7 linked regions of the Callithrix jacchus genome follow. Each later gene encodes a partner of the first gene's protein in a complex. Links are inferred from orthologs where the notes say so. Each region holds a gene or a part of one and is shown in the gene's direction. Other genes may lie near its edges. The genes, in order: PLRG1, CTNNBL1, PPIL2, RBMX2, CRNKL1, DHX16 and BUD13.

The links.
Region 2: PLRG1 (region 1) and CTNNBL1 share a complex: the UniProt entries of both Homo sapiens proteins name them as parts of the PRP19-CDC5L splicing complex. The link is inferred for Callithrix jacchus from reciprocal best matches to the Homo sapiens genes PLRG1 and CTNNBL1.
Region 3: PLRG1 (region 1) and PPIL2 share a complex: the UniProt entries of both Homo sapiens proteins name them as parts of the minor spliceosome. The link is inferred for Callithrix jacchus from reciprocal best matches to the Homo sapiens genes PLRG1 and PPIL2.
Region 4: PLRG1 (region 1) and RBMX2 share a complex: the UniProt entries of both Homo sapiens proteins name them as parts of the minor spliceosome. The link is inferred for Callithrix jacchus from reciprocal best matches to the Homo sapiens genes PLRG1 and RBMX2.
Region 5: PLRG1 (region 1) and CRNKL1 share a complex: the UniProt entries of both Homo sapiens proteins name them as parts of the minor spliceosome. The link is inferred for Callithrix jacchus from reciprocal best matches to the Homo sapiens genes PLRG1 and CRNKL1.
Region 6: PLRG1 (region 1) and DHX16 share a complex: the UniProt entries of both Homo sapiens proteins name them as parts of the minor spliceosome. The link is inferred for Callithrix jacchus from reciprocal best matches to the Homo sapiens genes PLRG1 and DHX16.
Region 7: PLRG1 (region 1) and BUD13 share a complex: the UniProt entries of both Homo sapiens proteins name them as parts of the minor spliceosome. The link is inferred for Callithrix jacchus from reciprocal best matches to the Homo sapiens genes PLRG1 and BUD13.

The regions. Positions count from the first base shown.
Region 1 is NC_133504.1:42,072,238-42,076,300, forward strand, and holds part of PLRG1 (pleiotropic regulator 1), read left to right. Parts: intron 1-602; coding exon 603-656; intron 657-1,437; coding exon 1,438-1,528; intron 1,529-1,714; coding exon 1,715-1,802; intron 1,803-3,088; coding exon 3,089-3,190; intron 3,191-3,560; exon of another isoform or gene 3,561-3,661; intron 3,662-4,063. UniProt on the Homo sapiens protein: Involved in pre-mRNA splicing as component of the spliceosome. Component of the PRP19-CDC5L complex that forms an integral part of the spliceosome and is required for activating pre-mRNA splicing.
Region 2 is NC_133506.1:33,129,832-33,134,634, forward strand, and holds the start of CTNNBL1 (beta-catenin-like protein 1), read left to right. Parts: upstream 1-1,886; 5' UTR 1,887-1,944; coding exon 1,945-1,974; intron 1,975-4,803. UniProt on the Homo sapiens protein: Component of the PRP19-CDC5L complex that forms an integral part of the spliceosome and is required for activating pre-mRNA splicing.
Region 3 is NC_133502.1:193,633,665-193,638,334, forward strand, and holds the start of PPIL2 (RING-type E3 ubiquitin-protein ligase PPIL2), read left to right. Parts: upstream 1-1,509; 5' UTR 1,510-1,603; coding exon 1,604-1,635; intron 1,636-4,670. UniProt on the Homo sapiens protein: Has a ubiquitin-protein ligase activity acting as an E3 ubiquitin protein ligase or as an ubiquitin-ubiquitin ligase promoting elongation of ubiquitin chains on substrates.
Region 4 is NC_133524.1:126,043,363-126,047,884, forward strand, and holds the start of RBMX2 (RNA-binding motif protein, X-linked 2), read left to right. Parts: upstream 1-1,473; coding exon 1,474-1,538; intron 1,539-1,749; coding exon 1,750-1,865; intron 1,866-3,274; coding exon 3,275-3,326; intron 3,327-4,522. UniProt on the Homo sapiens protein: Involved in pre-mRNA splicing as component of the activated spliceosome. As a component of the minor spliceosome, involved in the splicing of U12-type introns in pre-mRNAs.
Region 5 is NC_133506.1:27,029,124-27,033,186, reverse strand, and holds part of CRNKL1 (crooked neck-like protein 1), read left to right. Parts: intron 1-714; coding exon 715-893; intron 894-2,506; coding exon 2,507-2,677; intron 2,678-3,685; coding exon 3,686-3,877; intron 3,878-4,063. UniProt on the Homo sapiens protein: Involved in pre-mRNA splicing process. As a component of the minor spliceosome, involved in the splicing of U12-type introns in pre-mRNAs.
Region 6 is NC_133505.1:35,450,798-35,454,860, reverse strand, and holds part of DHX16 (pre-mRNA-splicing factor ATP-dependent RNA helicase DHX16), read left to right. Parts: intron 1-1,363; coding exon 1,364-1,504; intron 1,505-1,698; coding exon 1,699-1,861; intron 1,862-1,950; coding exon 1,951-2,069; intron 2,070-2,194; coding exon 2,195-2,262; intron 2,263-2,926; coding exon 2,927-3,089; intron 3,090-3,185; coding exon 3,186-3,347; intron 3,348-3,624; coding exon 3,625-3,798; intron 3,799-4,063. UniProt on the Homo sapiens protein: Required for pre-mRNA splicing as a component of the spliceosome. Contributes to pre-mRNA splicing after spliceosome formation and prior to the first transesterification reaction.
Region 7 is NC_133511.1:16,401,609-16,405,671, reverse strand, and holds part of BUD13 (BUD13 homolog), read left to right. Parts: coding exon 1-196; intron 197-1,806; coding exon 1,807-2,024; intron 2,025-3,593; coding exon 3,594-3,699; intron 3,700-4,063. UniProt on the Homo sapiens protein: Involved in pre-mRNA splicing as component of the activated spliceosome. As a component of the minor spliceosome, involved in the splicing of U12-type introns in pre-mRNAs.

The DNA.
Region 1 (4,063 bases):
TGAATTTTAAAAATAGAAAAATAAAATGGGTTATTTATGCCCCTCCTGGCAGAACTTATTGTGATCATACAGTATTTAATGGCTGTATTGGTATTATAATGGAAGTTTTGATCCTCATGGGAATACTGAGACATTGGTTGCTGACTTTTTTTTTAAAGCAGAATAATGATGGCAGAGATTCTTAGAATGTGGAGAAAGTCGCAGTGGAGACTAAGGGAAGAATTTGGAGAATATTCTTAACCTGTGGGGATGCCATGTATCTTGTCTGTAATTCAGAAAGATGAAATTAAATACTAAAATCGTAATAAAGAGAATTCAAGATTCCACAGGAAACCATTCACTTGGAAGAAATACCAGAGTGGATTGTCATTTGATAGGAGGGCTTCTTTGCACACCATTGCTGTACAGCGAATGGGCAAGGACATGGTTTACAGGGGTCAGAGCAAAAGTGATCAACTTCCCTTATTTCTGAGGCTTGACTTTAGTTGAGAAAATTTGGTAGCTCGGTTGATAATTTAATATTATTTGCTACATTTAAAGAGATGGTAACTTTTATATAAGATACATTCAGTACTGTTGATTTTTTTTCCCCCTTTTTCCAGGACAAGAAGTTGAATACTTTGTGGCAGGTACACATCCATACCCACCAGGACCTGGTTAGTGAGCTGTTGCATATTGAAAATGTCTTTAAAATGTCACACATATTTTCACTAATGAGCCAATAATGAGATTCTCATTGCCTATAAAATGCAAGATAAGCTCAATAGCCAAGCATCCATACATAGCTTTGTAGGTGATAATAAATATTCATGGGCCTTCATCAGCAAAGATTTTTAAGTATGTAATTTTTCAGGCACTGTGCTAGGAATTCAAAGACAGTAAAACTGTTGCAGGCCTAGACCAATTTATTATCTGGTGGCTTAGGCAGACATGTAAATATCACTAAGCTTATAAAAATAATGGAAATGTTAGAAGCAGTATGTTAGAAACATGTCCTATGTCTATATTAAGGCATTGGCTTTCAAATGGAGGGGCTAGTATAACAGGGTAGAGGACAAAAGGCTTAGTATATACAGAAAGTACAGGGAAATTGGGTGTAGTAAGTTCCATCCCACCTTTGGAAACATTATGTTAGTATTTGAAGAACTGCTTAATACTGACTTTTGAAACCAATACCCGAATATAATGGAAATTAACTTTACTATTCTGGGCTGCTTTAATACCAGGTTGGTTGTGATGAAATCAAATTTGAGTTACGTGTTATTAGGCAGTATTTATTGTAGAAATTAAAAACAAAGATGAGCAAAATTTAATCAAAATTTTATCTCCACTGCCTGGAGATAAACATTTGGTGTATGTTTTCCTTCATCCTTTTATTTTAAATGTATATAAATGAAAACAAAGCTACTAAAAGAAATTGATTTTTCATTTTAATAGGGGTCGCTTTGACAGCAGATACTAAGATCCAGAGAATGCCAAGTGAATCAGCTGCACAGTCCTTAGCGGTGGCATTACCTTCTCAGGCCAAGTATGAAGTACTATAATTACAAAGATCTTAAAAGCATATTTCACTGTTGATGGTTTTTTAAAAAATTTCTTTATAACTATTATATGACATTTTTCTTTATCAGGACTAAGAAAAGTTTAAAGGGTTGGTTTTGCAGAATATATGACTGGAGGTATTAATTACTTTATATAATTTCTTTTGCCTCAGGGCTGATGCAAATCGTACTGCACCTAGTGGAAGTGAATACCGACATCCTGGGGCTGCTGACCGTCCACAGCCTACAACGATGAATTCAGTAAGTTTTTCTGCCTCAAATAGCAGGTTTTTAACTTTCAGATTATGTTGCCTTATTTCCCTTTAACCAAAAGTCTTAAATACTAAAGAAATGAACACTTCTTTGGAATAATTAAGATAAATAGCAGCATGAGCTAGTCATTCATATTTCATAGCCCTAAAACTCAAGTTGGTAGTAAATTAATGTATTTTTAAGAATTTAATTCTGTTATATTGTGCATAATATATATATTTTGATAAAGATAATATGATGTTGGTATTTATTGCCCACTATTAAAAATGCAAGGAGTGTTTTTTGAAACTTGTGCTAGTATGTATTAGATGAAGTTTTAGTTTTTTGTTAAAACTAAGTTGGCTATTCAGTTACACACTGTAGAACTGTACAGTTGTACTGTGCTGTTAGTGTTGTGCTATTCATGCGTTATACAACTGGTCTTATAAATGAACATTTAGAAATAAGTTTATTGGTTTGTAAGTAAGTGGCAACTGCTCAGTATGGTAGAAGTAGTAATATAATTATTTTCTACAGTGTTTTTACTGACTTATTTATCTGCAGTGTATTTTCTTATGCTGCCATTTGAAATAAGTGCTGGCTTTACTGCTCAGCTCATTATGCAATTGATTTGACCTTATGAAAGGAGTGAAGGTGTAGCCTCCACATCTCATTTCTTCCTTTAACTTCATTCAGAACACATTTTCTGTCCAGGTTCTCTGTCCTTATATTATGAGGGTATAATTTAAGTTTCTTGAGGGCAGGAACTTTATGGGCTTAAATATTTTTTAGGTGACTAGATGGTTGCTAAAATAGAAGGTATATCAGGTAGCATACCTTTTAAAATATTATTTAAGTATTAGAAGATAAATATTAATAATGTTAAAATATGACAGTGAAAGGCAGTGGCATTAATACACTTAAAATAACTTTAATAATAGAAGCTTACATGGAGCATTTACTACTTTTTTGTAGTAACCCTATGAAATAGGCACTATTCCCATTTTACAAGTGAGACACATAGAGGTTACATAATTACTACCCAGTGTCAGTCAGCTAGTAATGGGCGGAGCTGGGTTTTGAACCCATACGGTGATGTGTACTCTTAAGTCTAAGTTCTGCCTCTCTGTGGCTTTATAATTGCTTTTTTAAATTAGCATGCAGAAAATTTTATTTCTTCATTTATGGAAAAGCTTTTGTAAGTTTTCTCTTTCAGTTTCCATTTCGGAATTGATAACATGAAGCCTTAGGTATGATGTCTTTAATAATAATAATGTAGTCTCTTTTATGTCTAGATTGTCATGGAGACTGGCAATACCAAGAATTCTGCACTGATAGCTAAAAAAGCTCCTACAATGCCAAAACCCCAGTGGCATCCGCCGTGGAAACTCTACAGGGTGAGTGACTCTGCATTTATTTTATTATGTAAACCATGATTGCTTTCTAGTCGACAAACACCGAAGAACAGAATAAGGAGGAAAAAGTGAATCCAGGCAGTATCTTAAAAGAGCTCTTGGGAAGGTCACTTCCCTAAGTAAAATTTGCACTTGTATTTTATATAAAATACAATACAAAATGTCCAGATAAAGCTACTAAATATGGATGGCAGACTAAATAAATTCAGAAAAAGTGTTCAAAGTATTTAGTTTGAAGGTGAAGGGGGAAATACCATGTGAAGAAATTTCACTGGGCTTACCAGTTATTCTTGCAATTACAATAAATTACAGTGATTCAGAGTATATCATCTAAAAGAAAATGGGCATGCATGCTCACTTCAGCAACACATACTAAAATTGGAATGGTGCAGAGAGGATGAGCATGGCCCGTGCACAGGGATAACACAAATTTGTGAAGTGTTCCATACTGTTTGATTATTTTGCATTGCTTGACTGTATAAAAATATCTCATGTACCCCATATTTCTGTGGATTCACAAAAATTAAAAACAGAAAATTTAAAAAGAAAATATACATAGGAAGTGTACAGCTACACAGAATATATATTTTAAATTTTTATTTTTCAAATGATGGTACAGTAAGAACCTTTTTCTTTGACATACAGATTAATGAATTGTAATAGATGTATTGATTTGGGTAACCATTACCACAATTAGGATATAAATGTTACATCACCTCAAAAAACACCCCTGTGCTTTTCTTTTGCAGTTATGCCTTCCTTCATCTCTGACAATCAATGATCTGTTTTCTGTCACTGTAGTTGTCTTATTTTTTTTCAATAATTTAAATACTAATTTATTTTTAGTTTTAATGG
Region 2 (4,803 bases), on another chromosome or scaffold:
GATCACAGGGGTCTGTGTCCAAAGGGTACACCCTCACCATTACTCTCTCCCGTCTTACTGAACAAGGCACAGTCTATATATTCTTGTAGAATATAAGCAGGAGGGGAAAAGACACCCAAATAAACTGAATTCCATGCAGATTGCATAGGTGATTCTTTAAACAATAAGGATCAAACAAAATCACAAAACTACCTTGTTAAAACTTTCCTTATGCTGTTAGCATAAAATCTAATCTCTCTCTCTCTCTTTTTTTTTTTTTTTGAGATAGAGTCTTGCTCTGTCACTCAGGCTGGAGTACAGTGGTGTAATCTCACCTCACTACAGCCTCTGTCTCCTGGGTTCAAGGGATTCTCCCGCCTCAGCTTCCCAAATAGCTAGGATTAGAGGCTAACCATGCCTGGCTAATTTTTGTATTTTTTAGTAGAGATGGGGTTTCACCACGTTGGCCAGGCTGGTCTCAAACTCCTGACCTCAAGTGATCTGCCCGCCTTGGCCTCCTAAAGTGCTGGGATTATAGGCGTGAGCCACCACGCCCAGCCACGCCTGGCCAAAATCCAATCTCTTTACCTTGGCACACAAGGCCCATTATGAAACCTCTCCCTCTAGTAGGCATTGTACTAGGCTTGGAGGATACAGTAGTGAACATGACATACACACATCCTGCTTGCATGGAGCTTGCAGTCTAGTAAATAAGGCTGTCAAGAAACAAATAGTCAACCATTAAACACAAAATTACAGATTGAGATATATACACAGTAAAGAATAATGAGGAGAGAGTTTGCTTACTTTGACTGAGGGTGAGTTGAAGAAGCCATTCTAAGAAAGTGACATTTGAGACCGGAAAGATGAGAGAGTTGGATGAGATGTGGGGCTGATAGCTAGACAGAAGGGGAGAGGATTTGTCACTTTGAGGAATAAGAATAATTTCTGTATAGTTGGAGACAGTGGAGTTAGGATGGGGACCAAAATTATAACTATGAAGGGCATATAAATATAATACAACATATAAATATAAATATAAAGGGCAGGGCTTATGGAGAAAGGTTTAATTTCCTTTGAAGATGGAGCCTTACATCCCAGGAGATTAAGATGCACAATTTGAATGATACTCTTCCAATTATGGGCAACTTTCTCCTCCAGAAACCTTTTTATATCGCCTGGGTAGCACCAGGTTCATCTAGTTACTGTCAGACTTTGCATAGATGAATAGACAGATGTCTAGAGAGGGACATGTGATCCAACAGTTTCTCAGCCAGTAATAGTTGTACAGCCTTGGGACAAGTCACATTTTGAGCCAGCCCTGTCTGATAGAAATTAGTGGAAACCACAAATGAGAGCCACATGTGTAATTTAAAATTTTCTACTAACCACATTTAAGAAGTAAAAGGAAACAGGTAAAATTCATTTTATAATATATTTATTTGACCCAATCTGGTGTGTATTTTATTTACACTTACAGCACATCTCACTTTGGAGTAGCCATATGTCAAGCTCTCGGTAACACGTGGCTACTGGGTTAAAGTATTGGATGGTGCAGTTGGGAGCATCAGTTTCCTTTTCTGTGAAATGAGGACAAGTCACTTCAAATACTACGGAGAGCGCACACTAAGCACCCAGCGCTCCGCTCTGGACACGGGGGGCGCGGAATCAAGTTTGGTTTCTTTCGGTTTCTGCTCTTCTCCTCCAGTCCCTCCTCTAAGTCTCCGCCCCTTTCCCCGCCCCCTCAGGTTATAGGCGGAAGCAGCCAGGTTCCAAATACAGCACACTTTACGGCGGCGCGGCCTTTTACCGCGGTGTGGCCTGCTCGCTTGTCGCGCGCGCTTCTGCTCTATTGGCTCTGAGGCCCCGCTCGCTGCACTTTACGGCAGTGTGGCTGGAGCCGCGGCAGACGGGCCCGTGGTCTGGCCGTGAGTGGAGGGGACCGGATTTGCTGGGTCGGGTACCATGGACGTGGGCGAACTTCTGAGCTACCAGGTATGAGGGGCAGGGAGGGCCGAGCGACCGCCTTCTCACTTGGGCAAGGGTCGCAGGGGCCAGAGCCCCTTCATCTCACCTCCTTTCGCCTAGCTCCCGGGCCCCCTAACTTCTCAAGTCACCTGGAGTCCTAGCCCCTCGTTTTACTTTCCTCCCGAGGCCCTCCTGGGCCCTTTCGATTCGTCCCTTCTCAAGACCTGAGCCTCTCACCTCCTCTTCCTCACCCCGGGGCCTGGTTCCCTGAAACTCCTCTGAAACCCCAGACTATCCCGTTTTCCCAGCCATGTCCACTCAGCTCTCATGTCCCCCCAGTCATTGAGGTGATGGTGGTGGTCATGGTGGGAGCGCACTTGGATCTCTCTTGGGTTTGAGCTCCAGCTTCTCCACTGACTGGCTGTGTGGATTTTGGACAAGTCATATCCCCCTCTTTGAAACAGGTTTTTGTGTCTATGTGGTGGAGACACTAATAGCTGCCTTAGTAGGGTTGTTTGAGGACTGTACCAACTGATGGATATGAAAGCTGGTTTTAAAGTGTGGAAAGCTGTGCTTGTGTTTACTGCGATTTGGAGGAGATGTTGGGAATTCTAGGAATGGAACTGAGTTTCTAGGAATCTTGCTCAGGGCCCCCCGTTGCATAGGATACTTGTGGGGAAACTGTGAGGGACCTAGAGAGCAAAAAGGATTTGTCCGGTCACTCAGAAACAAGGAGCTGGAATTTGAGCTCAGGTGTCTTGACTTCCACCCCAAAGGGTCCCCCCGGTCCCCCGCTTTGATTCCACAGTAGGCTCATTGTGAGGGGCAATAGAGCTGCACTGCCCAGTGTGGTAGCTACCACATAGGCTGTTGAATGCTTGAAATGTGACTAGTCTGAATTGAGAAGTACTGTAAGTGTAAAGTTACATTTAGGTTGGAGACTAGTATGAAAAAGTAACATTTTTGTATTGATTACATGATCGTACTGATTATATTAATTACATTGGTTATTGGTCATATTGATTAAATGATCATATTTTGGATAATGGGTGAAATAAAATATACTTAATTTTTAATTTATTTTATTGTTATCTAGAGACAGGATATTGCTCTGTCGCCCAGGCTGGAGTGCAGTGGCACAATCATTGCTCACAGTAGCCTTAAACTCCTAGGTCTAAGGTATCCTTCCCAGTAGCTAGGACTGCAGGCGGGCATTACTATGTTTGGCTGATTTTTAAATTTTTTGTAGAGACAGGGTCTTGCTATGTTGCCCAAGCTGGTCTCAAACTCCTGGCGTTAAGTGATCTTCCCATTTGGCCTCCTAAAGTGCTGGGATTACAGGTGTGAGTCACCACACACCACACCCAGCAAATAAAATATGCTTAAAACCAATTTTTTTTTTTAGTGCAGTGGCACAATCACTGCAACCCCCGCCTCCCGGGTTCAGGCATTTCTCCTGCCTCAGCCTCCTGAGTAGCTGGGATTGCAGGCCTGCGCCACTACACCCAGCTAAGTTTCGTATTTTTAGTAGAGACGAGGTTTCACCATGTTGGCTAGGCTGGTCTTGAACTCCTGACCTCAGGTGATCTGCTTGCCTCGGCCTCCTAAAGTGCTGGGATTACAGGCGCGAGCCACCATGCCCGGCCTTCAAACCAATTTTAACTGCTCCCCTTGACGTGTTAATGTGTTTACTAGAAAATTCAAAATCACGTAGGTAGTTCAGCTTACATTTTTGTTGGACAGCTCTGCAGTCACGAATAGGTGATTAAGAGCCATGAGTCTGGACCCCTAGGTTGCTGGCAGTCTCTGGTTTGCTACTAACTGGCTGCTATAAATTTGAACAAAATACTTAACTTCTCTATGCCTTGGTTTCCTCATCTTAAATGGGGGGAAATGACAGTAGCTGCCTCACAGGGCTGTTGTGAAGCTGTTGAGAAATGTAAAGTGCTTAGGCAATGCTTGCCAAAAAGTAAACATTCAGTAAATATAAGCAGTTATTTTCCCACCACTCCCTCAGCCAACATACGAGAAATTGACCCCGGACACTTAAGACATCATGGGAAAGAACAATTAAGCAATGGAGAGCTGTAGAGCCAAGAGAATTTTCTTTTAAAGACAGTTTAATTGATAGTGAAAGACAAAGGGAATTAGGCATGTTGTTGAATGAGTGATTGTATGCTTGCTTGGAATTTCTAGAAGGGCTAGCCCATTAAAGCTAGAAAAGGCTGGGCTTGGTGGCTCACGCCTGTAATCCCAGGACTTTAGGAGACCAAGGTGGGTGGATCATGAGGTCAGGTGATCAAGACCATCCTGGCCGATGTGGTGAAACCCCGTGTTTACTAAAATATACAAAATTAGCTGGGTGTGGTGGTCCACACCTGTAGTCCCAGCTACTCGGAAGGCTGAGGCAGGGGAATCTCACTTGAAGCCAGGAGGTGGAGATTGCAGTGAGCTGAGATTAGGCCACTGCACTCCAGCCTGGTGACAGAGCAAGACTCCGTCTCAAAAAAGAAAAAAATTCATTTGCTTAACACCTACTATGTTGCTCAACAAATATATATTGAACACCTACTGTGTGCAAGGCAGTCTATCCACTGGGTATATAACACTGAATAAAAGGCAAGATTCTTGCTTTTGTGGAGCATCTGGTGGGAAGTTACAAGATACTAAGTAAACAAGACGTTCAGATTGTGGTAAGTGCTAGGAGGGAATATAGTAGAGTATGATATAAAATTGCACTGCTTGGTATAGTAGCCTTTAGGCACGTGTGATTATTGAACACTTAAAAATGTGACTCGTTTCTAACTTAGATCTGCTGCATGTGTAAAATACACACTGGATTTCAAAGATTTAGTA
Region 3 (4,670 bases), on another chromosome or scaffold:
GCCGGGCATGGTGGCACACACCTATGATCCCAGCTACTCACAAGGCTGACGCAGGAGAATTGTTTGAACCTGGGAGGCAGAGGTTTCAGTGAGCTGGGATTGCACCACTGCACTAGAGCCTGGGTGACAGAGCAACGCTTCATCTTAAAAAAAAAAAAAAAAAGAAGAAAGAAAAATTAGGAGGCCGGGCATGGTGGCTCACGCCTGTAATCCAAGCACTTTGGAGGCCAAGGCGGGCGAATCACCTGAGGTCGGGAGTTCAAGACCAGCCTGACCAACATGGTGAAACCCTGTCTTTAAAAAAAAAAGAAAATAAAAATCAGGAGAGGCTGGGCGCGGTGGCTCACGCCTATAATCCCAGCACTTTGGGAGGCCGAGGCGGGCAGATCACGAGGTGAAGAGATCGAGACCATCCTGGCCAACATGGTGAAACCCCATCTCTACTAAAAAATACAAAAATTAGCTGGGCATGGTGGTGCGTGCCTGTAGTCCCAGCTACTAGGGAGGCCGAGGCAGGAGAATTGCTTGAACCCAGGAGGCGGAGATTGCAGTGAGCCGAGATTGGGTCACTGTACTCCAGCCTGGTGCCTGGCGACAAAGCAAGACTCTGTCTCAAAAGAAAAAAAAAAAGAAAAGGAAAAAAAGAAAAATTAGGAGCCTAGGCCAGATCATGCCGGGCCTGAGTGTAGATAGGGGCCCAAGGGAAGGGTCTAGCAGAAGAGACAGAAGGAATCAGGCAGGGCTTTGGACCTCTAGGCTTGATGGCCACCTGCTGCCGGGCCTGTGAGGGGCCTCGAGGCGGTGGGGACCCAATGTGCAGGGAGAATGAGAAGTGAGCGCGTAGACACGGAGGGCGGACATAACTTTGAAGGTGTCTGCTGCGGAGGCGGCAAGGGATGGAGTGGAGGCTCATGGGACATGAGGCTCCAGGAGGACTTTGGAAAAGACCTGAGCGCTGGCTGGGTGTGGAAGTTTAGGCCTGTAATCCCAGGACTTTTTGGGAGGCCAGTATGGGAGGACTGCTTGAGCCCAGGAGCTCCAAACGAGCCTGGACAACATTGTAAGAGCCTGTCTCTACAAAAAGTTAACACATTAGACGGGTGTGGCGGTGCGTGCCCATAGCTTCTCGGGAGGCTGAGGTGGGAGAACCGCTTGAGCCTGGGAGGTTTACGAAGTAGTGAGCTGTGATTTCGCCACAACACTCCAACCTGGGCGACAGAGCGAGATCCTGTTTCGAAAATTAATACATAAATAAGACCTGAGAACTCAATATGGGAATGGCCCTGAGCCGTCGCTGGGCGGGTAAACGAGGCGGTCCAGACGGAGACCCCTAGAGAAGATGGGGCCTCAAGGCTGAGGGAGCTCGGTCCTGGGAAGGCGCCAGCGGGAGAAGGCACATCCAGAGGCCCAGATTAGGCTGTCGACTCTTCCGAGCATGCGCACCTGGCGCTAGCGAACAACAGGGCCCGGCACGCCGGGATTCCGTTTCCGGGGCGGGCCGCGAAACCCGGAAGTGGTCACCGAACGCTGCCAAGGCTCCATGGTCTGAGTTGTCAGCCGTTGCTTTTTCGTGCTCGTTAGTCGTCGCCGCCGCCGCGCCGCCATGGGGAAGCGACAGCACCAGAAGGACAAGATGTAAGTTGAACCGCAGTCGGGAGCGGCGGCTCGCTCTGCCTCAGTGACCCGCCTGTCCCGTACTGCGCGCCAGTCGCCTTCCCTCTCAGCTAGTCTCGGGAGCCCAGCACAAAGGTTACTTCCTCCCGGAAGCCGTCGCCCTCTCTTCTAGCTGGGTATTGACCCTCGGGCCGCCGTGCTCTCCCGTGGCTCCGATGACGTCTGCTGCGGGCCCGAGCGCAGTCGGGTCTTCCTTTACTCTGCTTCTGCCCGGGCCGCCCCCCACTGCTCGCGAGCTTTGCCCGAGTGAGTAGTCTCTCCCTCTTCCGTACATCCGGTCTCCCTGTGTTCTGGTTTATGCCCCTCAGCCTGCACACGTGCTGCAGAGCCTTCCAATTTAAAGCAAACCAGGCTGGGCGCATTGGCTGACCTGCAATCCCAGCACGTTGGATCCAGCGAGCGGATCACCTGAGGTCAGGAGTTTAAGACCAGCCAGTCCAACATGGTGAAACCCCGTCTCTACCAAAAATACAAAAATTAGCCGGGCGTGGTGACCGGCGCCTGTAATCTTAGCTACTTGGGAGGCTGAGGCAGGCGAATCGCTTGAATCCGGAAGGCGGAGATTGCAGAGCCGAGATCGAGCCACTGCCCTCCAGCCTGGACGACAGAGCGAGACTCCGTCTCAGAAATAAATAAAACAATACAATAATGCAATACAATACAATCCACCCGTGTCCCTTGCCCCAGTTCCCCTCCCACTGCCGCCGTATTTTCTTTGATTCTCTCGGAACAAGTGAGAGACCCGTGGCTTCGTGCTGTTTTCTGAGTCTCTTGAAGCCATTTAAGTCAGAGTTTCAACCCTAGAACTCCTCTTGTCATGTTCCCAGCGACTTCTTGTTGCTAAATCTAGGATTCCGTCCTCAGTCCTCATTTTGTTGGGCTTCTCAACAGTATGTCACACCGTTGACCACTCCCTCCTTCTGAAGCCCTTCTTTGGTATCTGGGATTTCACATGCTCTTTGTTTTCCAGCGGCCTTTCTTTTCCCAGTCTTCTTTCTGGACTCTTCTCCCTTCTCCCAGACCTCGTAGGTTTTTTTTTTCTATAAACATTCCCTGTGGGTAATATAATTTCCCAGTCATCTGTAAGCTGCTTTCCCCAGTCTTGTGTAGTTAGCGACTTTCTTATTATCGCCACTGGAGGACTAACAGGTGTCTCAAATTTAATATGCCTTAAACAGAGCTCTTGATTTTCAGCTCCTGAGCCTGTTCCTCCCTAAAAACTAAAAATCTTAAGTCTCCCCACTGGCTGAACAGACACCCTTGTGGCCAAGAGAACCCCAGGAAAACCTTAAAACTGAGTTTATGGCCATGATGGGATGGAGGTCAGATGTATCCTTTTGTGTCTTGGACACAGCTGACCAGGATTAATGTTGAAGTAGAGATCATAAGATTGACAAAACAGACTCTGGCAATAAGATACCAAATTATAAACAGAACCCACAGACAATTGTGCCAGACAATTTCCCTGGTTAAGTTATCCACTCCTGAACTTAAAGAATAAACTATATTCTAACTGCCACAAGATTTTTCTTTTTCTGTAGCAGCTAAATAAGCACTGGTTTTCACATAAGCAATATTAAAACAGTTGTAGTCCACTAGCAGACATGGACTAATTGAACCCCTGTTCTATCAGTCGTACTGCAGCTTTAGTCTGGGCTCAGTAGCTCATGTCTGAAATCCCAGCACTTGGGAGGCCAAGGCGGGACGATCACCTGAGGTTGGGAGTTCGAGACCAGCCTGACCAACATGGAGAAACCTGTCTCTACTAAAAATACAAAAAATTAGCTGGAAGTGGTGGCACATGCCTGTAATCCCAGTTGCTCGGGAGGCTGAGGCAGGAGAATTGCTTGAACCTAGGAGGCAGAGGTTTCAGTGAGCCAAGATTGAGCCATTGCACTCCAGCCTGGTCAACAAGAACTAAAATCTGTTTCAAAAAAAAGAAGTAAATAAATAAATAACTGCAGCTGTGATTGGACAAGAGACTGATTTCTGTAACTTTCTCCTGATAAGACAACTGACCATGGACAGGCCCTGGCCAGTTTACAGAGGCTGCTCATTCGTATGCTCTCAGATTTTTAAAAGATCTTTTGATGATAAGGCCTACTTACAATACATTTAAATGTTAAGTCTCCACCTTAAAGAGAACAGGGGTCATAGGTTACATATATGTTTATTTATTATGCCTATGTTAGGACCATCTTTATGAATATTCAGAGATCCTTTAACCTGTTAAATATTTATGATTAACTTCTTCAGCATAAGGCTCTTCCTACTCCAGTCCCTCCTACTTCAAAGTGCCTGTCTCTGGGATTCAGCTGGAGGCCATGCTTCCAGCCTGCTGGATGGCCACTTTAGGCTGTAACCCATTATAAGAAATAAAGTCAGGGCCGGGCGCGGTGGCTCACGCCTGTAATCCCAGCACTTTGGGAGGCCGAGGTGGGTGGATCACGAGGTCAAGAGATCGAGACCATCCTCGTCAACATGGTGAAACCCCGTCTCTACTAAAAATACAAAAAATTAGCTGGGCACAGTGGCACGTACCTGTAATCCCAGCTACTTGGGAGGCTGAGGCAGGAGAATTGCCTGAACCCAGGAGGCGGAGGTTGCGGTGAGCCGAGATCATGCCATTGCACTCCAGCCTGGTAACAAGAGCGCAACTCCGTCTCAAAAAAAAAAAAAAGTAAATAAATAAATAAATAAATAAAGTCTGCTTTCTAACTTTATAGATTATTTATTTATTTTCATTTTTTTTTTTTGAGACGAAGTCTCACTCTGTTGCCCAGGCTGGAGTGCAGTGGCACAATCTCGGTTCACTGCAATCTCTGCTTCCCGGGTTCAGGCAATTATCCTGCCTCAGTCTCCTGAGTAGCTGGGACTAGAGGCAGTTGCCACCATGCCCAGCTAATTTTTTGTATTTTTAGTAGAGATGGGGTTTCACCATGTTTGCCAGGATAGTCTCCATCTCCTGACCTCATGATCTGTCTGCCTCGGCCTCC
Region 4 (4,522 bases), on another chromosome or scaffold:
TGTCCAAGAGCAGGTATTGATGTGGACACGTGCAAGATGGATTCAAATTGTCAATATGGGTTAAATCACATATGTCAACCATCTCTTCTACTGGTTTCTAGATATTTGTGGTTGAAATCTATCAAGCAAATATATCTTGTGCCCTTAATTATAATACTAGCTCCTTGAGGGTAGAGGGCCCACCCTGATACTCCTGTCTACAGACCTTAGCTGTGCAGGACAAATCTAGATGTTCAGTAAGGACTGATTAAATTAACCTGACCTGATGGGTGGAGGTAGAGTACCTTTCAAGTTAATTAATTCCTTTGAGCCTCATTTCTTCCTCTACAAAATAAGGGTAGAAATTTCTTTTTCTTTCTTTTCTTTTTGAATGGAGTCTCGCTCTATCATCAGGCTGGAGTGCAGTGGTGTGATCTTGGCTACTGCCTCTCAGGGTTAAGTCATTCTCCTGACTCAGCCTCCTGAGTATCTGGGATTACAAGCATGTGCCACCATGTTTGGCTAATTTTTCTATTTTTAATAGAGACAGAGTTTCACCATGTTGGCTGGGCTGGTCTTGAACTCCTGACCTCAGGTAATCCGCCCACCCCAGCCTCCCAAAGTGCTGAGTTGACAGGCATGAGCCACCATGACTGGCCCCCCTTTTTCCCCTTTATTTTCGAGACAGGGTCTTGCTATGTGGCCCAGGCTGGTTTTGAACTCCTGAGTTCAAGCAATACTCCTGCTTTGGCCTCCCAAAGTGCTGGGATTACAGGCATGAGCTACTGTGCCTGACCAGGGGATTGTAATTTTATCTGCTTCATTGGGTTGTTGTGAGGGTGGAGAGACAATACATGTAAACTGCCTAGCACATACTCTTGCATCGTATAGTATGTCATCTGTTCAATTGTTAGCTATTAATTTAACAATATTAATTTCTGCCTCCTCCTCAACTAGGAGAGTCGATGGAAAAGAGTGAGTGCAGTGGCTCTCGTGCAAATCTGTAGGCATTCACTTCAGCCTCTAGAGGCACACTGGTATGTTGCCTGTGTTTTGGGATAAGAACAACAGAAGATTTACCCTTTCGCTTATCTTCTTCACTTTTCTGCCATGACAGGGACGCTTTGATGGGGCTGTGTGTGAGCAACTGACCAGGAGCGAAGGTCCAAGTGGGACTCTGGACTGAGAGCGGGGGCTGAGACTGAAGTTGCCACATCAGACTGCTTGTTCCGTTCACTCAGAAAATATTTATAGCTAATCTAACCAGCTTTAGACACCGTTCAAGTGCTGGGGGTCCTGCAACAACCCAGGCTCGTTCCTTTACTCCATTTCACAGAAAAGAAAAATCGAAAAACTAGAGAAAATCATCTCTTCCAGAAGTAATCGCACAGGGCACGGAAGGCTGCTAGTGCGCAGGCGCCACGACCTCGGTACGCCCTAGCTCTTCCGGCGCGAGGTCAACGACTCAACCGGCAACCGGAGCCGGGGTCGCGCATGCGCCGCGCTGCCTCATCCGGGCGCCGATACCTGAATGCTGAGCGCGAGCTAGCGGAGATGAAGTAAGGCGTTAGCTTCCTTTTGAGGAAGGAGCAGCGAGTCGCCGGGGGTGGTCCGCTGGGGCTGGGGTGGTAGAGAGTCTGCGGTGTACAGAGGCGGGAGAGGCTCTGTGACTAGAACAGTTCGTCCCCTAGTTTTGCTCTCTCTCAGCTCCTGCCCAGTCGCACTTACTTGTCTGCTTTCCTCCTCCCTCCACATCCCCCCACCTTGCAGCCCTTTAACTAAGGTGAAGCTGATCAACGAGCTGAATGAACGAGAGGTCCAGCTTGGGGTGGCCGATAAGGTGTCCTGGCACTCCGAGTACAAGGACAGCGCCTGGATCTTCCTGGGTGAGGTGCACATCTTTCTCCCGCAGTGCTCCCAAGATTCTCCTACTCGGTTTCCGACGATTTCAGCGTTCCGACCCTTCACTCCTGCCTACATTCATCGCCCACCTTTATATCCATCTGCTGTCTGCCCGGGAATCCATGTTCCATCTCTTTTCTCCCCTATTTTTAGTTTTCTTTCCCTGCCAAATCATGAGAGTTACTGTTTGCCATTTGCTGTGCTAAGGCTCAGGGACTGTTGTTATTTCTCTCACCCCTGACCCATTATACAGCTGAGGAAATTGGGGTGCAGAGAAGTTAAGGGAATTCATTAAGGTCACATAGCTAGTAAGCACAACAAGCAGAACTATAGTATTCTAGAAATCATGGTCTTAGCTACACACCCACATTGCTACCACCACCCTCTCTCATTCCCCTTCCCTTCCTGAATTCACTTTTCTCCTCTAATTAGCTGCTGTCTTCTGTCCATGGCCACATTACCACTCCTGTATTCACTTTGTGTCACAACCAGTAATTGTACAGTTTGACGTTTCAAAGAGGTTATTGTACCAAACATTGTGCTAAGCACTTTATATGCGTCGTTTTATTTAATTCTTATAACAATCCTGTGAGTTATGTGCTAATATCCTCATCTTACAGATGAGGAAAGAAACATTTGGAGGGGAAATTATTTCCTAGGAAATGCTTAACAGTGTCTTTATAACGTTTGTCTATATTTAGGTGGGATTAACCATGACATATGTAGACTGATTTTGTATCATAGCTGTAAATTTGTGGATAATGAGCAGATGAATTCAGCATGTTTGTGGAAGCAGAGGTTTGTGATGGAAACTATCTGCTTTGTCCATAGTATTTGGGGTGCCAGGAGGACTGAGTGATCAGATTAGTTTAGTTAGTGGTGACTCTGACTTCCACTCAAAGTTAATCACTCCTTTTCCTGTACTACTGGCACCTTACATGTACTTCTGTCATTGCATCAGACTTGATTTTTTTTTTTAAGTTGGAGTTTCACTCTTGTTGCCCAGGCTGGAGTGCAATGATGCTATCTTGGCTCACTACAGCCTCTTTCTCCTGGGTTCAAGTGAGTCTCCTGCTTCAGCCTTCTGAGTAGCTGGGATTATAGGTGCCTGCCACCTTGCCTGGATAATTTTTTTTGTATTTTTAGTAGAGACGGGGTTTTGCCATGTTGGCCAGGCTGGTCTTGAACTCCTGACCTCAGGTGCTCTGCCCACCTCAGCCTCCCAAAGTGCTGGGATTACAGGCATGAGCCACCGTGGCCGGCCCAGACTTGATTTCTTTAAGGACAGGGCCTATTGCTTACTGTTTGCACCCCTAGTGCCTGGCCTAGTGCATGGTACGTAGTAAACTCTTGGTAAATGTTGGGTGAACTGAAATGTGGTTTTCTCTTCTAGGAGGGCTTCCTTATGAACTGACTGAAGGAGACATCATCTGTGTGTTCTCACAGTAAGTCCCTGTTCATTTCCTGCCTCCTGAGTCGACAGAGTACTTTGTTTCTATAATGCATTTTGTGGCATCACAAAAACCACTTATTTTCACTCTAGGCTGAATGGCATCCCTGCATGGGGAGGGTTGGAGATTCTGCTTTAGTCTGGATCAGTCCCAGGACATGGTTCTAGAATGTTCTCCTGTGGGAAATCCAAAAAGTTGGTTAATTTAGGCGGCCATCTTGGGAATTCAGGTCTATTTCTGTTGTCTTTGACTGAGGCTTGTTCAGCCTGGGCCTAGACTAGAACAGATTGGAACCCTCAGGAAGGTACCGTGTTGGTCCACCTCCTTGGCTCTTGCAAACTAGGGGTAACTGATGGTCACAGGGCCCTTCTGGCCCTAACCTGTGTGGCATCATAGGATTGGGGCAAAACACAGAAGTGGGGTAAAAAATAGAAGGTATAGGTTGTAGTTTGCTTTCTTTGTTTCTCAATGAGTGTAAGGTTAGTGAGCGAAGCCAGTCTCTACCTGGAGGCTGAGAATCACAGGCTGATGAGGAGCAAGAATGAATAGGAGACCTGTATATTCTTCATTCTGCTGAGCAGTAGCACTTGGTGGGAGAGGGTGTTGGCGGCTCATACTGGTAGTAGCAGCTGGTAGGAGACGGGCTGGGCAGCTGGCATGCAACCCCAGAGCTAAACAGCACAGTTAGTCCACAGGACCAGAGGACCTTGGTGGCTCACAGGTGCAGAGGAGCACTATGTTTGGGTTTTTTGGGCCTTGGGAACATAGTACAGAGAAGTTGGACGGCATGTACAGGTAGAGGACCATGGCAAAAGGGGCTGGCCAGGCAAACACAGGTAGCATACCCTGGCAGAGGGATTGCCATGGCAGGATGGTAGGGTCATCCATGGACAGAGGGTCCTGGCCAAGTGGTTGGGCCACTTAGGGGGCAGCAAGTCATAGGAAAGGAATTAGGCAGTACCCGTGAGAAGAAGGCTGTGATAGAGAACCTGGGCAACCCACATGGTTGGAGGGCCCTGGCAGGGACAAAGATTGCTTCCTCCAACTTCTGGATGGTGGGAAGTTAACAGCAGGTGCAGCCTATAATTTCTACTTCTACCCAATTCAGTCTTCCATCTTGGAGCTGTTTAGTTCTACATACACTGAGTGATGATCAGTTAGCATGTGTGTGTGTGTTTGTTTATTCTGAT
Region 5 (4,063 bases), on another chromosome or scaffold:
TGAAGTAGCTTGACTAGGCTTTCATAGGTGCTGATGGAAATGGAACGTGAACCTAGAAGAACGAATGCTCTTAACTTCTTGGCCATATTTGAATATATTACCACTTTGGAAATCAATGATTTATTCAAGGAAGATAGATTAAAATGGCAATTCAAAACTTTCGGCTTTGACTCTAGTTAGCAGTTTTCTTTTTATAGCACTTTTTCTTAATTATCAGTTCAAGTATTTATATTTTAATATAATTGATGTCATTTATTGACCAGACCATTATTGACCATTTACGGTGCCATGTTCTTTTGGCCAGAAACTGTGCTAAGGGCTTACCATACATTTTCTCATTTAAAGCTAGCAGTAATCCAATGAGGTTGGCATTATTCTCTGTTAACCAACGAAACAGCTGAGACTTAGACAAGTTCAATGACTTATCCGAGATCACATGGTTAGTAATCTGGGTTGAGATTTTTCTTTGCTTCCAAACTCAAGATTGTACCCAGTACTAAAATCTTAACTAAGCACTGGAGGAAGATAGAATGAGAAGGCGTGGCCCTGCCCCCAGGTAAGCCACCGTTTAGTTCTACACTTCTGCATGTGTTTTATTCCCCTGGAGTTGTAGTTTGAACTGTTGGGGTGTCCAGGCTTTGGTATGGTTTTAGCGTTTGCTTAGTCTTTCAAACCATGCTGTTTTTGCCTGGTATTTCCTTAATTCCCTTGCACTTGTCCTCGTGCACCCTGATGTTAAGAACTGGATCAAGTATGCCCGCTTTGAAGAAAAACATGCTTATTTTGCTCACGCACGGAAGGTGTATGAGAGAGCTGTGGAATTCTTTGGCGATGAACATATGGATGAGCACCTTTATGTCGCCTTTGCTAAGTTTGAAGAAAATCAGAAAGAGGTAATATGCCTAAAGAACTTCATTACACTGTAAAATAGCTTAGCAAAGATTACATTTTGTGCATGGTGGGTTCATTTTCATTTTTCTTACATACCTTGGAGAAGAGTTGCCAAAATGCAAAAACGCAACTTCTCACAGAGAACTGCATATGTATGTGATTCAACTACATATTGGGAGCTGATTATAGATTGTATTATAACTGTCTTAATTTGGTTGTGCTTTGTTTGAAAATTAAGACTTTTAGTCTTAATTCCCTTTAAACTGAGAGCTGATCATTTGGCATCCTACTTAAAGGACTTTACAGGTATAAATATGGGAAACAAAAAGCATAAAACTCCAGAACAGGAAGCAAAATTTAGAATGGAAACAGAGACTGCCCTACAAATAAGGCAAGGAGTTTGAGACCAGCCTGGGCAACATAGCAAGACTCTGTCTCAAAAAAAAAAATTGAGTGGGCCTGTTGGCACACACCTACAGTCCCAGCTACTTGGGAAGCTGAGGTAGAAGTATCAGGAGTTTGAGGCTACAGTGAGCTATGGTCATGCCATTGCACTCTAGCTTGGGTGATAGCAAGACCCTATCTCTTAAAAAAAAAAAAAAGGAGTTCAAGTAATAACGGAACTGAGAGAGGTAGGCTGAGATCCATCCAAATACAGGGTTGGCATTCCCAGTCTGAAAATCCGAAACTCAAAATGGGAACCTTGTTGAGTTCTGACATGACACTCAAAGGAAACGTTCACTGGAGCATTGAAGACTTTGGGTGTTTCTACTGGGGCCGCTGAACCAGTAAGTGTGATGCAGACATTCCAACACTGGGAAAACATCCCAAATCCAAAACACTTCTGCTACCAAATGTTTCCGACAAGAGATACTCAGAAGCATAAAGCCCCAGAACGGAAAACAAAATGTAGACCTGTACAAGGTCTTGCACAGACCATGCTAGGGAGTTCAGATTCTGTTTGAGCCAGTAGGAAGCACTGAAAGGTTTTAAGCAGGATGGTGATTGGATATGATTTATATTTTAAAGAGAATCCCTGGCTAATTCGTGGAGAATGTGTGGGGATGTATGGCAAAAGTGGAACCAGGGGAGACCAGTGGGGAGACTTTTGAAGTGGTCCAGGTAAGCAGTGGAGCTTGATGGCTGGAGGCTGGAGAGAAGTGAAGGGCTGCGTGGAAGAGGTTGAAATGGCAGGGCTTGTTCCAGGAGTGAATATGGAGAATGAGGAAAAGAGAGGAATCAAGGAACACCTGAAGGTTTTGGCATGAGCAAGTATGTGACTCCAGGTTAGGCATTGCCTACTAAGATTGGGAAGATGGGGAAAGTCCCAGGGTGAGTGGGGAGGAAACAGAAGCTGAGTTTTGGACCTGTTTGAGATGTGCAGTGGACATCCAATTGGCGGTGTTAGGTAGACAGTATTAAACATGGAGCTCAAAGCAGAGTACTGGTCCATCCTGACAGCTCACTTCAACAAGAGGGAGAAAAACATTTACTTCCGACATTATGAGGCCTCAAAATCTAACTTATAGGTAATATTTTGTTACATGTACTTTCCTTGTTGTGACTGGCATGAGAATATTGTGTTATAGAAGGTAATCATCCTCTCTGCATTTAGTTTGAAAGGGTACGAGTGATTTACAAGTATGCCCTGGACAGAATTTCAAAACAAGATGCCCAAGAACTCTTTAAAAATTATACCATCTTTGAGAAGAAGTTTGGTGATAGGCGGGGTATTGAAGATATCATCGTGAGCAAACGGAGATTCCAGTATGAAGAAGAAGTGAAGGTGAGCGCTGGTGTGCATGGTCAGCTCTGCAGATAGCTGAGATGTGCTCAGCCTTACTAGCAACACTAAAGGAAACAGCAAGTTAGCATTACCCATGATTACCCTCTTGAGGATGTGCCTGTGATCAACTGATGGCTATTTCACACAAGTAGGAATAAATGAGGGTGATAGAAAAGGCAAGCAAACAACACTGGGATTTGCTCTGCCACTCAGATGTTGAAATTCATTTTGTTGATTGCTGATTATATGTAGAACTTGAGCAAAAGAAGTGTGGAATCCATTTGAGCTCATTGTTGGAAGGAGGTGGAAGAGTCAGAGATTGGTCCAAAAACCTGTTTTTGCACATCACCCTTTGAGCTTAACTGCCTGCACAAAAGATTTATGCTATACAGGGTTCTATCGGCATCTCTTTTTCTGTAATGTGCTATTTTGATTTCAATTCAAAGAGAGTAGCATTTGCCTTCAGTATTCTGCTGTGTATTTAAAAATACCTTTGCTTAGTCTAATTAAGATACCTCCAAGCAAAGGACTAAGTCTGTTATTTAATGAGGTGGTAGGTTAGCAAGATATATTAATGATAAATTACTCTTAATTGGAAAGCAAGTTTAACAATTGTGAGCATAATATCATTCTATTGTAATTTGGTTACAGACATGATATGTAGTCACATATATAAGCAAATGCATTGATAAGAAGAGGCATCTAATTATTGACTATCTTGAAAATGATGGCTGTAGATGAAGGGGGCTTTGCTGTGGGATACCTGGCCAGTGATCTATCCTCTGTATTTCTGTTTCTTTTCTATATGTGCATCTCAGGGATGGTGTTTTTAAAATGAGAGAACATGAAAAATTTAGAAGAAAAAGTGCTAAAAAAAAAAATAACAAAAAAAAAAGAAAAGGTGCTAAAATATAGAAGGTCAGGCTGGTGCCTTTTTTCATCTCACTTAACCTGGCAAGCGCAGCTCTTCATTTTGCTTTTTATTTATTAAACTGGTTGTCTTTCTAGGCGAATCCACACAATTATGATGCATGGTTTGATTACTTGCGTTTGGTGGAAAGTGACGCAGAAGCTGAAGCCGTGCGAGAAGTCTACGAAAGGGCCATTGCCAACGTCCCACCCATCCAGGAGAAGAGGCACTGGAAGCGCTACATTTATCTTTGGATCAACTATGCACTCTATGAAGAATTGGAGGCAAAGGTGAAAAAAAACCCAGAATTATGCATCAGCTGTTAATGGTTTTCTCTCCTCTGTATTCACAGCTCACCTATTGTGGATATTTATAATTCTTGAAACCAAGAAATTTAGTTTTAAATTTTTATAGGCTTCTATTCAGTCATACAGTTACGTATTCACTCTGCAACATTTTAAACTCTCTGTGCTTGT
Region 6 (4,063 bases), on another chromosome or scaffold:
TTCAAGCAATTCTCCTGCCTCAGTATCCCAAGTAGCTGGGATTACAGGTACATGCCACCATGCCCTGCTCATTTTTTGTATTTTTTGGAGAGATGGGGTTTTGCCAGGTTGGCCTGGCTGGTCTTAAACTCCTGACCTCAGGTGATCCATTCACCTTGGCCTCCCAAAGTGCTGGGATTACAGGTGTGAGCCACCATGCCCGGCCAACAACCAGCTAATTTTTAGTAGAGATGGGGTTTTGCCATGTTGGCCAGGCTGGTCTTGAACTATTGGCCTCAAGTCATCTGCCTGCCTTGGCCTCCCAGAGTGCTGAGATTACAGGCATGAGCCACCACGTCCAGAGAAGTTTGGACTTTAGACAGCTTAGTAGCAATCAAAGGATTTTGAGCAGAGATGTAACTTTCATTCAACAAATATTTCATGAGTTCTTTCTGTGTGGTGCCAGATACACATGAGTTGATACAGTGATGCACAAAACAAAGTCCCTAGCCTACTTGTACTTGCGGTCTGTTGGGGAAACAGTAGATGCGTAAATACATAATGTCAATTTATGGCCAGTGCTGTGAAGAGATACAAGGCAGCATAGCAGGATGGAACTTGACTCCTGAGAGGTGGGGGTGAGGACTGGCATGAAGATATTTGTTTTGGGGTATAGGGAAGGCCCTTCAGTAAAGGGAAAGTGGAATAGAGACCAAACCAGGTGAGGGAGGAGCCAGGCTGATATTTGGGAGAAAAGTGCCACAGACAGAGGGAACAGCTGATGCAAATGAAATGATCCAGTGAGGAGTGCATGTACGTGGGCAGAGCAAAGCAGTGTGCAGGAGGAGTGAGGGAGGGGTTGGAGTGCTAGCAGATGAGGTCAGAAAGGCAGCTAGGGTAGGTGATCCAGGCTTTTAAGGGGATTGGATTGCATTCTAGAGTAGGATAGGAAACCACTGAAGGATGGGGAGTGATATGACATGTTTATATATTAAAAGGACCATCCTGGATGCCATTGACAGGTTGGGAGTAGAAACAGGGAGATGTGTTAGAAGGCTCTTACAGGAAGTGTTGTGTGAAGATGGAAGTGGTGGTGAGGAAGACGGGACAGGAACTTGAACACTCCCATTCCCCTTCTGAAAAAATTAACACCCTAAGTCCTCTTCTCCATTTTCTTTCCTCCTTGTGCCCCTGCTGACTCCCAGCCCCCATTTCCCTCTGCCCTGTCTTCTGTCCTTGTCCCTTGCTCTTGACCTTGGATACTAATTCCCTCAGCTCCTGCCCCTTACCGCAACTGCTTTACTACTTCTAACTTTCCAAGATGACTTTTTCTGGGTAACGAGGTTGGCAGGGTCACTGGGTGACCCCATATCCTCTCACTCAGGTGGTTGTGGCAACAAACATTGCTGAGACATCACTTACCATTGAGGGCATCATTTATGTGCTGGATCCAGGGTTCTGTAAGCAGAAGAGCTATAACCCCCGCACAGGAATGGAATCACTCACTGTCATACCCTGCAGTAAGGTCAGCTTGGGGATGCATGGGGGTCAGGGAGGTAGAATTGGTCCACAGGGAAGGTCCAACTCCAGAAGCAGGGTGGGGGCTTCTTAGCAAACGGGGATGAGCAGTTTACATCCATCTTAATTTCTTGCATAAATACTGCCCTTTTTCTTTTCCCCAACCAAATTGTCAGCTAGCCTGCTCGCCTTTCTTTCCAGGCCTCAGCCAATCAGCGAGCTGGCAGGGCAGGTCGGGTGGCTGCAGGGAAGTGCTTCCGCCTGTATACTGCCTGGGCCTATCAGCACGAGCTTGAGGAAACCACAGTGCCTGAGATCCAGAGGACTAGCTTGGGCAATGTCGTGTTGCTACTCAAGAGCTTAGGTGACTGGGCTACCTGAGAGAAGGGGGAGGTGGGCTGGAGTCATGGTCCTTTGAAGGGATTCTGTTCCATCCTTCCCACCTCTCTCTAGGGATCCATGACCTAATGCACTTTGATTTCCTGGACGCTCCACCATATGAGACACTGCTGCTGGCTTTGGAGCAGCTGTATGCCCTGGGAGCCCTCAACCACCTTGGGGAGCTCACCACGGTGAGTTGGTGGGCAGCATGGGTGGGGGCAGGATGATACGGGTCAGGATGGCTCCAGGGACCCCTATAGCAATGGAGAGAATCCTGAGGGAGGACCGGGCTCAACTCTCTGTCTTCTCTCCTTAGTCTGGTCGAAAGATGGCAGAGCTGCCGGTGGATCCCATGCTGTCCAAAATGATCCTAGCCTCTGAGAAGTAAGCCCTCCTCTCCACCCAGGCCCCCAGGCCTCCTCTGTCTCTGGGGTCTTCTTTGTCTCTTTGTCTTTTTCTCTTCATATTATTATTTAATAAATAATAAATTATTAGATAACTCTGAATGCCCCCTTTTGAGGCCCACAAGGGTAAGACACTTGATCCTTGATCCTGTCCTTGATTATACTAAATGGGCAAGACTGACTGACAGAAAATTCTGGGTCATGAACGAAAGTAGATTTTCCATCTGGGAGGGTTATTGAATGAGGGCTGGTTTTGGAACTTACTCATTCCCAAGGTTTCAAACTAGAACATTTAGATGTAGCTGTGGAGGGACCACCTTTAAATGCCATTCCTCTGCTGTCGAGATCTTTTCCGAATGCACATAGTGAATGCACACTTTCTGTAGAAACCTCAGAAGTCCCCAGTGTTTTCTGCTCCTGCCTCCATGGATATCCCTCCCTTGTGACTGTGTTTCATCTATGCTCCTACCTCCTTGACCCTCAAGCTGCTGCCAGAATCTATCTGCTGGCTGCTTTGTAACCATTATGCCAACCAGCCTTCCCCACATGAGGAAACATCCATCACACAGCGGTCACTTCCCCCTCTACCATATCTGTGCTTATGTGTCTTGCTTTGAACTCGTGCTTTCCCCTTCCTGTCCCAGGTATAGCTGTTCAGAGGAGATCCTGACAGTGGCTGCCATGCTGTCTGTCAACAATTCCATCTTCTACCGGCCAAAGGACAAGGTTGTCCATGCTGACAATGCCCGTGTCAACTTCTTCCTTCCTGGTGGTGACCACCTGGTTCTGCTAAACGTTTACACACAGGTCACTGGGCTTGGGTGAGTGGGAAAGAGACATGGGGGGACTTCAGTCTCGCTGTACACTTAACTACCTCTCCTTTCTTTTTAACTCTCTTCCCAGTGGGCTGAGAGTGGTTACTCTTCCCAGTGGTGCTATGAGAACTTTGTACAGTTCAGATCAATGCGCCGAGCCCGAGATGTGCGGGAACAGCTAGAAGGGCTCTTGGAACGTGTAGAAGTTGGTCTCAGTTCCTGCCAGGGGGACTATATCCGTGTACGCAAGGTCAGCATTTCTTTTGCCTACTGCCTTCTACCCGCAGTAGCTTCCTGGTGGCATGCAGCAGCTCCTCCAGCCTGAGGACATGCCCTCTTCCCCTTATGTACCACATTTCCTCCCAGGGCTTTCTTCCCCAGACCACTGAAGGTTCATTCCTGGGGGATTCTTCATGCCTTCCCTACCTCGCTAGTTTTCCCAAAGCTTGAACTAAAAAGGTAGTGAGCACTTAGGGTCCCCAGATATCTGCCTTTTCCATTGATTTTCTTTCCTGCCTTCCCCTTAGGCCATCACTGCTGGTTACTTTTACCACACGGCACGGTTGACTCGGAGTGGCTACCGCACAGTGAAACAGCAGCAGACGGTCTTCATTCATCCCAACTCCTCCCTATTTGAGCAACAGCCACGCTGGCTGCTCTACCATGAACTTGTCTTGACCACCAAAGAGTTCATGAGACAGGTGAGAACATCCTGTGCCCATACAGGTGGAGTCTGTAGAGAGGTGTCCTGGCAAGCTAAGAACCCAGGTTCAGGTTGCTCAGCCTGATACAAAAATAGGGAGGTAGGGTGAAATGAAAGACATCCTTTTGTTTTTTGTTTTGTTTGAGACAGAGTCTCACTATGTCGCCCAGGCTGGAGTGCAGTGGTGTAATCTTGGCTCACTGCAACCTCTTCCTCCCGGGTTCAAGTGATTCTCGTGCCTCAGCCTCCCAGTAGCTGGGATT
Region 7 (4,063 bases), on another chromosome or scaffold:
TCCCTGCCCAGAACCAAAAGTAGTAAAGCCCCAGAAAGAGCCTCTAGCAAGACTTCTTCACATTGGAAGGAGTCAGGAGCCTCTCATTCGACACTCCCAAAGAACAGCAAATATGAGTATGACTCTGACCTCTCTCCTCCACGAAAAAAGCAAGCAAAATCTCATTTTGGAGATAAGCAGCAGCTTGATTACAAAGGTGAGCATATGACTGTCCATGAGAGGGATGTGTGTATCCCCTGGGAGCTTTCTTTTGGCCCTTTACTTGCTTTATAAGGTCTAAGAATGGAGTTTCTTTGGGAAAGTTTTGAAAAGTGAGAGGCTGGGGTTGGGAGAGTTAAAAAATTACGGTGGTAGGGAGGAAGGTTTTCATATATCTTTTTATTTACTTGCCCCACCCCATATAAAAGTACAATTTTTTTTGTTGCAGAAGCTTTAGAATGTACAGAAGTGTATAAAGAGAAAAGTGACACAAAATTCTGTCATTCAGAGGCAATTGTTAGTGTTGCAGCCAGGGTCATCTTAATCTTTTCTGGTTTTTGATTTGCATTTTTGATATAGTTGTGCTCTGGCTATGCAGAATATTGTATTGCGTTTGTAATCTTGTCTGCTGTCTTTTCTTAATATAGTCTTCCTCAGGCCATAAAAACATCTTTATGTTAATATGATGTTAATAGTGTTCCATTACATAAAATTACTTAACCATTTTTCTAATAATGAGTGTTTTTGGTTATTTCTAAGTTTTTGCTTCTGCAATTCTGTAACAGACATCTTGTACATAAAGTGTTGTCCCCATTTTTGATTATTTCCTTATCTATTTCTAGATAGATTTCCTGGAAATTCAACCACTTCTGTATAGGTTTCCTAGAAAGCTGAGAAGTTGATTTACTGGGTCAGAAGATGTGGGCATTTTAAAGACTGTCCATACATATTGCAGATTGCTCTTTGGGAGGTGATTTGTGATGCTTATACAGTCACTAGAACTTAGGCCTGTGCAGTGAAATTTTTTACTCCCTCTTTTCTTTCTAGGAACTATTTTAATTTTAAAATTAAACTACTTTGTTATCATTTAGTCTGAGGATATCAGAATGTATTCTAGGTATTTCTGACTTTTGTCACGCTATGGAGCACTGACTATACAAATGTTTTGTCTGTCCATGGGTGGGGTAACTGACATGGAGGAGTGTGTGGAGATCTCACACACGGTTACAGCCACTGGTCACTTGGTAATAGAATGCCATCTTCTACCTGTTGGTCTTAAAAGTTGTTTCTGACTTTGCTTTTCTCCTGTGTCATTCATACTTATGTTTAGGTTAATGAGAATTCTTCATAGGAAAACTAAATAAATATTGTATATTAGCTTGGTAAGTTATTTTTTTTAGATTCTTCCAAGGGGATTAAAGAATTGTTTGGCCAGGCATGGTGGCTCAAGCCTGTGATCCCAGCACTTCGGGAGGCCAAGACGGGCAGATTACCTGAGGTCAGGTGTTCAAGACCAGCCTGGCCAACATGGCAAAACCCTTTCTCTACTAAAAACACAAAAATTAGCCGTTTGTGGTGGCGCACACCTGTAGTTCCAGCTACTTGGGAGGCTGAGACACAAGAATCACTTGAACCCAGGAGGCAGAGGTTGCAATGAGCTGAGATCGTGCTGCTGCACTCCAGCCTGAGACTGTCTCACAAAAAAAAAAAAAAAAAAAAAAAAAGAATTCTTTCATTTGGAGGTTCTTCTCACAGTCATAGGAGATTTTATGTAAGTTCTTCACCTAGAGGACATCAGAGTCACACAGATTCTTTCCTTCTATCCAGGTGACTGCCAGAAAGCAACTGATTCAGACTGTTCTTCTCCATGGCGTAAACAAAGTACAGGGCACCAGGATTCTGATTCAGATCTGTCACCTCCACGGAATAGACCTAGGCACCGGAGCTCTGATTCTGACCTCTCTCCACCAAGGAGGAGACAGAGGACCAAATCTTCTGATTCTGACCTGTCCCCACCTCGAAGGAGTCAGCCTCCTGGAAAGAAGGTTAGGATTTTCAGAAGCTATGTCCTTATTTTCGCATGACTCTTCTCTCTGAGCTTTATATGTGTCCCAGAGAATCAAGCCAAAGGAGAAGGATGTAGCTTTTAGAAGTGTAGTAAATCTTAGTTAAAAGGACCTTTGGATCTCTTTCTTTCTGAAGGCAAACTGGCTATAACCCAGCCCAGGTGGATTTATAGATACCACATTTCCCAAGTCGCTTCTGCTTTTATAGCCTCTTAATTCTACAAATCTCATTTTAGCAGGTCCAGAAAAGCTTCCTATATTCTTAGGAATAAACTGAGGACTGTAATTTGCAGAGTGGAGTTTGGGGCACAAGCATTGTGTCAAACAAATCACATATTGAAATTCTCCTTCTGCCACTTACTGTCTGTGAGATTTGGGCAAGTTGCTTATTATCGCTAAACCTCAGTTTCTTTATCTGTAAATTGTTGTTAATAGCAGTACCTACTGTGTAAGGTTGTGATAATTAAGCCAGTGTAAATAAATCTCTTAGCATAGTGTCTGCATCTAGTGTAAGCATCTGGTATTGGTGATTTACTAGTATAAATTGACCTATAGGTCTCTGTATCCAGAGCTTAAGAAGAGACACTTAAAATACGGAACTACTTTTAGAAATCATGTTGTCTGGGAAGTTAATGTTTTGTTCTGAGTTCATGATAAAGCTTGATGAATTAGCCAAAAAACCCAAAACTCCATATGAACCTTGAGTAATTCTATTGTAGAGAACATTAATAGTAGTAAAGGAATCTGATTTGTGAGTGGTTAAGAAACAGAATGATGGAGGCTGTGGTGTGCATTTTTCTCCCCAATGCAGACTTACCAGGTAAATCTTGTCTGTTGAAGAAGGGTCTGAGAAGACTGGTCCTGGTAGGGTAGATCAGCCTTTTCTTTACCCAGGGAGTGAGAGTCTTCTCTTTTCTGGAAAAAAGAGGTCTCTGTTTCAGCTGGACCCCTTGACATTTTATGTATCCATTTAGTTAATGGACAACTTAATATTATAGTTGCTTAAGGATATCAGGATATACTGTGTGCTTCATTTGTGGGCTGGTTTGCTGTCTTGATACTAAGTGGAAATTAGCAAAAAGTTTTCATTTGGTTAGATCTTCTGTTATTACCCTGAAATATATCCACGATTTGAGGATCTTAGGTTTGCTTGAGTTTGTATTTTAAATGGAGTATTTTGTCAGTGTGGGTCTCTAATGGAAGACTTAGTGCTTTATACTGGCTTCTGATCAGATGACCTGAGAGAATCTTCATGTGTACAGTTTCTATACTGAAAAGTCAAAAATGCAAATGCATAGCCCTCCCTTTAATATATTGTTTGTTTGTGTTTCTGTTTACTCTTAAACTTGATGGTATTGATTTTTTTATGAAATTAGATTTTCTTTCTTTTATGGTTTTTGAATCGTGATAATTAATGAGAATATAAAGCTAGAGTTTTAGGTTTAATTATTGCTGCTCATCAGAGACAAATGCATCTAACTGTGTACCCGTGGAGCCTACTGCCACATCATCCCATTAATGTTGGATGCTCCCTTTTCCATTGCATAGGCTGCATACATGTATTCTGGGGCTAAAACTGGGTTGGTGTTAACTGACATACAGCGAGAGCAGCAGGAGCTCAAGAAACAGGACCAAGAAACCATGGCATTTGAAGGTAAAAATATGAAAGCACAGAGACCAATCTAGTCTCATGTTGCTTTTTTACAAAACATAGCTTATTGTACCTGATATTGTAAACTTCTAATTGCTATCAAATTTCAGCTCTGGTTTTATGCATCATTATAACTTCTTACTAAGTCCCAGTGTTTCTTTCCTTCTTGAAAAATGCCATTTTGGCTGGGCGCAGTGGCCCATGCCTGTAATCCCAGCACTTTGGGAGGCCATGGCGGGTGGATCAGTTGAGGCCAGCAGTTCAAGACCAGCCTGGCTAACATGGTAAAACCCTGTCTCTACTAAAAATACAAAAAAACTAGCTGTACGTGGTGGTGTGTAGCTGTAATCCCACCTATCAGGAGGCT